2 linked regions of the Mus musculus genome follow. The protein of the gene in region 2 purifies or fractionates together with the protein of the main gene of each other region. This does not show direct contact. Links are inferred from orthologs where the notes say so. Each region holds a gene or a part of one and is shown on either strand. Other genes may lie near its edges.

Evidence for each region.
Region 1: the proteins of Champ1 (region 2) and Cbx5 purify together in Homo sapiens (affinity purification with mass spectrometry; 6 studies listed by BioGRID and IntAct, with this or other methods). This does not show direct contact. The link is inferred for Mus musculus from reciprocal best matches to the Homo sapiens genes CHAMP1 and CBX5.

What each region holds. Positions count from the first base shown.
Region 1 is NC_000081.6:103,237,029-103,241,498, forward strand, and holds the start of Cbx5 (chromobox protein homolog 5), read right to left. Parts: upstream 2,825-4,470; 5' UTR 2,705-2,824; intron 1-2,704. Other genes in the region: Hnrnpa1 (heterogeneous nuclear ribonucleoprotein A1), read left to right, coding at 3,486-3,500, 4,052-4,168, 4,418-4,470. UniProt on the Homo sapiens protein: Component of heterochromatin that recognizes and binds histone H3 tails methylated at 'Lys-9' (H3K9me), leading to epigenetic repression. In contrast, it is excluded from chromatin when 'Tyr-41' of histone H3 is phosphorylated (H3Y41ph).
Region 2 is NC_000074.6:13,876,013-13,879,821, forward strand, and holds part of Champ1 (chromosome alignment-maintaining phosphoprotein 1), read left to right. Parts: intron 1-84; exon of another isoform or gene 85-214; intron 215-1,785; 5' UTR 1,786-1,831; coding exon 1,832-3,809. UniProt on the Homo sapiens protein: Required for proper alignment of chromosomes at metaphase and their accurate segregation during mitosis. Involved in the maintenance of spindle microtubules attachment to the kinetochore during sister chromatid biorientation.

The sequences.
Region 1 (4,470 bases), on a different chromosome or scaffold from region 2:
GCATACAGGTTGGCCATAATCCTATGTTCACTCTCTAAGAAATGGTAAAATTTCCCTTTTTAACCTCAAGACCCAGAAACTAATCTATACCAGAGGAAAAACAGGATTAATGGTCCATTTATTAAAGAGTACTCCAAGACAAGGTGGTGGTGGTTGTGGTGGTGGGCGGTCATTTCCTCCATGCTTTGCTAACTGCTAAATGTCTGAAAATGATAAATTCTAGCATTAGCCCTTTTAGAGGAAGACTTTATTATTCATTTTTACATTTTTGGTATTGTTTTAAAACTGAAACACTGGGGGGGAAGTATGGGGGACTTTCAGAATAGCATTTGAAATGTAAATGAAGAAAATACCTAATAAAAATTTGAAAAAAAAAAAACAAAACTGAAACACTGAAAGGAAAGGAAGAAAGCAGAGACTGAGCAAGTGTGGCTCACGCCTTTAATCCCGGCACTCTCGAGAACAAGCGGCTCGCGGATCTCTGAGTTCAAGACTAGCATGGTCTACAGAATGAGGGCTACACAGAGAAACCATGTCTGGAAGGAAAAAAAAATATTCTGAACCATATCTAGGTAGATGCCGTGAGTCCACTATCACTTTAGAGCTCAGTACTGAAGTTGCACTGTTAGTGTAAATAAGCAGCTAATGGTTGTATAATATGTTTGTCCTTTTTAAAGTGCCAGTGACTATGGAAATCTCTATTCATTAGAAACATCACTAAAACCTGTCAAGCGCCAGGCGGTGGTGGTACACGCCTTTAGTCCCAGCACTTGGGAGGCAGAGGCAGGTGGATTTCTGAGTTCGAGGCCAGCCTGGTCTACAAAGTGAGTTCCAGGACAGCCAGAGCTATACTTAGAAACCCTGTCTCGAAAAACCCAAAAAAAAAAAAAAAAAACAACAACAACAAAAAAAAAAACCTGTCAAGCATGATAGCACCAACAGGTAGATCTCTTCATGTGAGGCCAGCCTGAGACATAAAACAGAAAACTAAATTGAAATCATCAGTCCGTCCGTCCCCCCCCCCCCACCCCCCGAGACAGGGTTTCTCTGTGTAGCCCTGGCTGTCCTGGAACTCACTTTGTAGACCAGGCTGGCCTCAAACTCAGAAATCCGCCTGCCTCTGCCTCCCGAGTGCTGGGATCAAAGACGTGCACCACCACCACCCGGCATCATCAGTCTTTTGTAAAAAGTATGAAACTATCTTCTTTTCTTTCTTTTCTTCGTTTTTGAGACAGGGTCTGATTATGCTTTGGCTGTCAAGTAACTCACTACATGGACCAGGAGGCTGGCCTCAAACAGATATCCATCTTCCTGCTAGGATTAAAGGCAATGACCACTAACGCCAGGCTGGAATTTTCTTATCACAATGAGGTACCTCTACCTCAAAGACTATAAATAAATCAACAGACACAGATAATAAATGGAAATTATACATTTGTCTAGATACTCTGAGAAGTGTGGGTATTATCAACACCAACAAAATTGCAGAGAAAATACAAAAATATATGGAATCAAAACAATGAATAACAACTCAAGATATGGTGGAGTCTTCTGTCCCCAACACCCTAAATACCTCCTAAATGAATCAGCTTTTTCACCCCACACCAGACATCCTCAAATGAACAGCAGAAATAGGAGCTTAGAGTATCTTGAATGTTAGGGGAGAAAAATGTTCTTCGGAGAAGAGATTCAGATAAAAGAATTGGGAACATGAATGGTGGTGACAAGTACATGATGACACAAAACAAACAAACAAAAAACCAAATGTGTCTATTTTTATTAAGGTTTTCATTATTTCATCAATGACAATTATCCCTCAAACATACAGGCCTTGGCCCCACTGTTTCCATAGAAGCAACACGTTTTGACTTTTGACATGTAACTCTCAAAAACTTTCATAGAGATAGAAATACAAATACAGTGTCCCTGGAAATGGGTGCTAGTGGTTAAGTCTATTTTTCTTGGATGCTTTTCATTGCAAGTACTTTACCTAAGTCATCTCATTCAAAATTTCAATATTCTTCTCTTAAAAGTTTTCAAAGACTAAAGGCACGTTCTCCAAAGTCTCAAGTGAAGGGAGGAACGTACCAAAAACTACAAGAAAAATGATTAACTCAAGGGCCACAAGAAAACATATGTTTTCCCTAAGGTAATATACAGAATGAATGCCTTAGTTATAGGAGTCATTTTAAGTTAAAATACTCGCCCCCACAAATGCAAGAGTAAGCTTTATTGGGGGGGGGAGGGGGGAATCCTGTCTTTCTAGTGACTCCTGGCTTGCTCTAAGAATTTAACCAGCCAACTCCCGCGCTCCCCACAGGAGTCCAGCCTCTGCCTCTTGGGGAAGGCCGGCCAATCGCGCGCTTGGGGCTCATTGGCTCGGAGAGACGCAACTCAGGCGAGAAAAACCCGCCTCCCACATTCCGATGGCCCAAGGACCGATCGGTAGGCAGCTATAGGAAAACCCAATTGGCCTATAGGCTCGCCAGTCAAATGCTTCGGCAAGGCAGCTTCACAGAACCTGCAAGGATAAAACATCCCGCCCCAGTTGTCCTATTGGCTGGCCCGACCCGTCGCGGCCCCTTCACTGTCGTCGTCCACCCCCCCCCCCACCAGTTCAGCGGTCCATTCATTTCGTACAATAACCGGTGCAATGGGAGCGGGTTCAAGATCTCGTACGGGTAGACGAGACTCTGCCACTTACCCAAGATCTAAAGTGATCACTCACGCTAAGGCCTGCACGGTTCCTCTGTGGTAAAGCGGCACCACAAGCCACCGCTACCGCCGCCTTCTGCGCAATGCCAACCGCCCGCCAAAACGGATCCTTCCCTGCGCCTGCGCAACCAATCCTGGGCTTGGACCTTTTCTCCGCCCAAAACGCCTGCGCAAAACTGGACGCTGGTCCCGCCACTACGCAGGCGCCTAGGTTCACAACCCTCTCCCGCCCGCCATTTCACGTGTTCCAGGCAGCAGGCGGAACATCGTAGTGCGCCGGCGTGAACTCGCCATTTTTATTACACATGCGCCTTATAGGGAGTGGCTGGGAAAAGTCGCGGTGAGCTACTTTGTAGCGTGCGGTCCTTTGACGAGTGAGTTTGTAATGTTCGGGTGTGGGAAAGTTATGAAAGGCATTTAAAAGACGTGAATACATTCAAATATAAGTGACTGGCTAGTTAGCCAATCAATGCGATTAAGGATAAGATCCCTTGGGGCATCAGTGACTCAAAGGGGCGGAGTCTGAATAGAACGCCCAAACGGATGCCGTTTCTTAGCAGGGCGTCTTCACGGGCCAATGGTGGGAGGGAATAATTTCAAATCTCCAATAAGACTCAAGTAAGGGCGGAGTCTACCAATACCGAGAGCGAGGAGGCGGGATAAAAGGGCGAGCAGAAGGTAGGCTGGCGGGCACGTTCGTTATCGTATTCCTTTCTGCTCTTTGACGCTGCCGAGGAAGCATCGCTGAAGGCTCTCGTAACTCTACCGTCATGTCTAAGTCCGAGGTAAGTTGGATGCGCTTTGCAGCTTCTCTTTCTTCCACACTTACTGAATATAGCGGGATGTGACGTGTTTTGCTGCTCGCACCCGTGGTTTCGGTGTTTTATCGATTAGTGCTGAGGCCTACTTTAAAAAAATGCAGGTCGCCATTTTGTCCTCATAGTCACCATGAGGCTGCGATCCGACCGCCATTAACGTCCATGCACTGTTCCTTGTGGCAAACTTCACAGACTAATGATCTGGGGAGTGTGGCCTTTTCTTCCCCTCCCCCATTCTGGTCTAACAATCGCTTGTTAAAGAGATATTAAGTCTTAATGGGGATGGACCCGACTAACCTGTGCCCTTTGTTGCGCGTGCGTATGAAGTAAAAGTAAGGACGCATGCGCTGCGTGCAACTCGAGTGAATCCCCAGCAGCACCTCCTAGCCTAGGAAGGAGCACGTGGTCTCGTGCAGTAATAAAGAACAATAAAAAAGTGTAGCATGTGTTGTTGCGGGGTGTTGATTCATTTTCCCAGGTTCCAGCCCCTCCGCTAAACACTCCCTCCTCCACTTTAGTCTCCCAAGGAGCCAGAACAGCTGCGGAAGCTCTTCATCGGAGGGCTGAGCTTCGAAACAACCGACGAGAGTCTGAGGAGCCATTTTGAGCAATGGGGAACACTAACAGACTGTGTGGTAAGATTAAAAGAAACAAAAGGAAGAGCTGGCTTATTTCTTCCGATTTAATCTGCTGCTTCTTAGCTAAATTGTTTTGTGAAGTTAACTAATGGGATGGTAAAAAAAAATCTGGGGCTTTCTTCAGATCTGTAAGAAGCTTACATTTCCACCCCCCCACTCTGAAGTTTCATGTTTGCCTTGATCAGACTAGGAATGGCTTTTGATTCTGAGATCAGGCAGTGTATTGATTGAATTAACTCTAAACAGGTAATGAGAGATCCAAACACCAAGAGATCCAGGGGCTTTGGGTTTGTCACATA
Region 2 (3,809 bases):
GCCCAGGCAGGTGAATCAAGAGTTTGGGAAGCAGGCCAAACTGCTACATAATGAGACCCTGGGCTCACAAAAAGCATCACTTAGTCCGAGGCTAGAGTCACGCTCTGGTATTGCTTGTTGCCTTAGTGTGCTAGAGTCCTCGAAGAATAACTGCTGACCTTATTCACTGGCTGTGGACTTTCTGGCACAGTCAGTCACCAGGTTAGTGACATCCGACATATGTCAGGTTAACCCATTCAAAGTTACGTTGGCTTTTGTCAGCCCTATTTCTTTAGGGAACCCTTTAAAGAGAGGGGGTGCTAGTTAGTGACCTGACTTCTGCTTTGAAAATTATATCTGGTGCCTGCTGTGTCAGTGTTCCCAAGAGTGAACATTTACACTCACTAGTAGACGACTACAAAGATAAGCTTACTCGGAGTGAGGCTCTGAAGATGGTTGGGGAAAAAAGCATCACTTAGAAACCCAGATTCTAAGCCTTATGTTTTAAATTTTGTATGTAAACCAGTGTGTGTTTTATAAAAACCATTTGTGGTTAGATACTATAAAGTTAATGAGATAAATAATAAGCTGGAAAATATTTTAGATAAGGACTGTTCTCTTTGTAATTATATATTAAAGTTTACAACTAAGAAAGGTAGATATAGAAAATGAACCAATACCTAATTTTTAAAAAGACAAAAGGCTAGTAGGGAAATTGTTCAGTCTTTCTCATGAAAGAACAACACAGTAAAGCTGGGTATGGTGCTGTACGCACCTTGGGCTGCATGGTAAGGAGCAGGTTAACTGTGCTACCTATCAAAAGCCTGCCTTTCAAAAAAAATAAACGAACTCATAGGATAAAAGGAAACACCGTTAAACAGCAGGAGTGAGAGTCTTCCCGTGTAGCAAGGAGTTTTACTCAGTTTTGAGGAGTTGGGGGAATCTTTCTCACCTGTACTCATGGTATATTTTAAAATCCAAACAGCCTTTGAGCCAAGTAGTAATTTACTATTTTCTATAGAAATACTCTCATATAAAAAAGTAGAAGGGAGTTTTATGCTTACTCTCTATAGCACGTGGGCATAGGTTGAATGTGAGCCATATGTGTAAAATGCTCTGTGCTTGTATATGGCCAGAACAGTTAGTTCCTCAGTAACACTGGTTACAATGAAAAAAAAAAAAAAAAAAAAAACTTGCTAAAAATGTATCCTCCATGCCTGATGTCTGTGAGACACCCTGAAGAGCTGTAGGCTCAGAAAGGCCCTTTTGACAGCTTCTCTGTTTTTATTCTAAGAGTGGTTAAAATATTCCAAAAGTTGATAGAAAATAAGGCCAGGATCATGTTGCAATCTTTCCATAGCTAGACTTAATAATTTCCTGGAAAGGATCTAAAGTTTCTTCCTAGATTTAAGTCACCTAGATATGCATCAGCTCTGTGTGTGGACAGCTTGTTGATTGAAGATCTTAGGGCCTAAGTGTAAGGCTACAGTAAGTAGTGGGAGTTGATTCTTGAGAAACTGATAGTCCTGGCCCTGGGCTAGAGCGAGTCAGTCAGTGTCTGGGAAGGTACGGCTATGTCTTCCCGCAGGAATGAAGAGGGTGTGCTTGAGCGACAGCCTTAGAGTTACCTGAGAGGCCCCAAATAAAACTCCAAGTGCTGTGCTCAGCCAGAGTTAGTCTCCCTTTTCTCAGAAATCTTGTAGACATTTTTAGTAAAGCATATGCCATTCCGGGCTCACAACTATGCAAGTACAGTATTGTGTTCAGCACAGAGTCCTTTGGAAATAACTTCTTTCTCTGTTGCAGCACTGTTGAAGTCTTTCAAGTGCAGTTCTACGGCGTGTGACAGAAGATGGAAGTGTGTCAGGAATTGAGGAAACCAGCGCTAAGCCTGGAGTGTGGGCACTGCAGTTTCAGAGGCACCGATTATGAGAATGTGCAGCTCCACATGGGCTCCATTCATCCTGAGTTCTGTGATGATATGGATGCCGGGGGCCTGGGCAAGCTCATCTTTTACCAGAAGAGTGCAAAGCTCTTCCATTGCCATAAGTGCTTCTTCACCAGCAAGCTGTACGCCAATGTGTACTATCACATCACGGCCAGACACGCAGCCTCGGACAAGTGGAGTGAGCAGCCGAAAGAGCAGCCGAGCAAAGACACCGAGTCTGGGAAAAGCCCTTCCCCTCCTGAGCGGCAGAACCCAGCCTTTGACCCAGCAGAGGCGAGGCCCACTCCAGCCCTCCCCATGGAAGCACAGAAAACGAGCCCGAGCTTGTGTCCAGAGTCACAGGCTTCTGGTCCTCCAGTTCTGGAGCCTCAGGGCGCTGGTCCTCTTATTTCGCCCGAGCCCCAAGCCCCTTGTCTTCCTGCTGAGGCCTCAAAAGCTGCTCCTGTTCCTTGCCCTGAGCGTGTAGACCCACCCTGTGAGCTTCCTGAGCTGGAGAAGCCTGAGCGAGGCCCTTCTCCTGAGTCAGTCAAGTCTGCTCTTGTCAGCTCCAAACCCCCAAAGCACTCTTCCTTTGCAGACACAGGGGCTGCCCCTTCAGCTTTGTCTCCAGAGTCACCAGTACTGGCCACTTCCCCTGAACCTTGGGGACCATCCCTCAGTGCATCTCCAGAGTCTCGGAAGCCAGCGAGGACTGCCTCCCCTGAGCCAAGGAAGCCATCCCCAGCAGAGTCTCCTGAACTTTGGAAGCCATTCCCTGCCATCGCTTCAGAGCCTCGGAGACCAACCCCAGCAGTGTCGCCAGGTTCCTGGAAGCCAGGGCCGCCTGGTTCTCCTAGGCCTTGGAAATCCAGTCCTTCAGCAACATCAGGACCGTGGAAGTCATCTAAACCTGTTCAACCTATGTCTCCTGGACCTTGGAAACCAATACCTTCTGTATCACCTGGGCCTTGGAAACCTGCCCCATCTATGTCCACTGCATCCTGGAAGTCTTCAGTCTCATCTGGTTCCTGGAAAACACCACCCACATCTCCAGAGTCATGGAAGTCTGGCCCACCTGAACTCCGGAAGACAGCCCTTCCCTTGTCTCCTGAGCACTGGAAGGCAGTGCCTCCCGTGTCTCCTGAGCTCCGCAGACCAGGCCCACCACTTTCCCCAGAGATCCGAAGTCCAGCAGGTTCTCCAGAGCTCAAGAAGCCTTCAAGCTCACCAGACCTTTGGAAGGTTTCTCCTGACCAGCGGAAAACTTCTCCTGCTTCACTTGATTTCCCTGAGCCCCAGAAAAGTTCTTGTGGTAGTCCTCCTGATCTCTGGAAGTCTTCCTTCATTATGGAGTCTCAGAAACCTAACGTCTTCTCTGAGACGAGGAAGCACACTGCTTCGGGCTCATCTGAGTCACCGAAGGTAGCGTCAGACATATGGAAGCCTGTCTTGTCTATCGATGCTGAGCCTAGGAAGTCCACACTGTTTCCTGAGCCCACCAAAGCAGTCCTTCCTGCTTCTCCCGAGCCACGGAAACGCGCACTTTTCCCAGAGTCCCGGAAGCACGTGTTTCTACCTGAACTTCCCAAATCCGCTGTGTTCTCAGACGCCCAGAAGGCCCCTGAGCTTAGTGAGGAGATACAACTTGAAGCTGTGGATAATGCAAAATGCGATAGTCTGGCCCAGGAAGGGCTTCTGGCCACCCCCAAGAAACTGTTAGACGAGGCTTTATCTCCTTCTTCAAAGAAGCTCAAGAAGGACAGCCAGGAGAACTCGGATGCCGAGCTCAGTAGCAGTGAATACATCAGAGCAGATTTAGACACGTTGGACACGAAGGGCCAGGAGTCAAGCAGCGATCAGGAACAGGTGGATGTGGAATCGATTGATTTTAGCAAAGAGAACA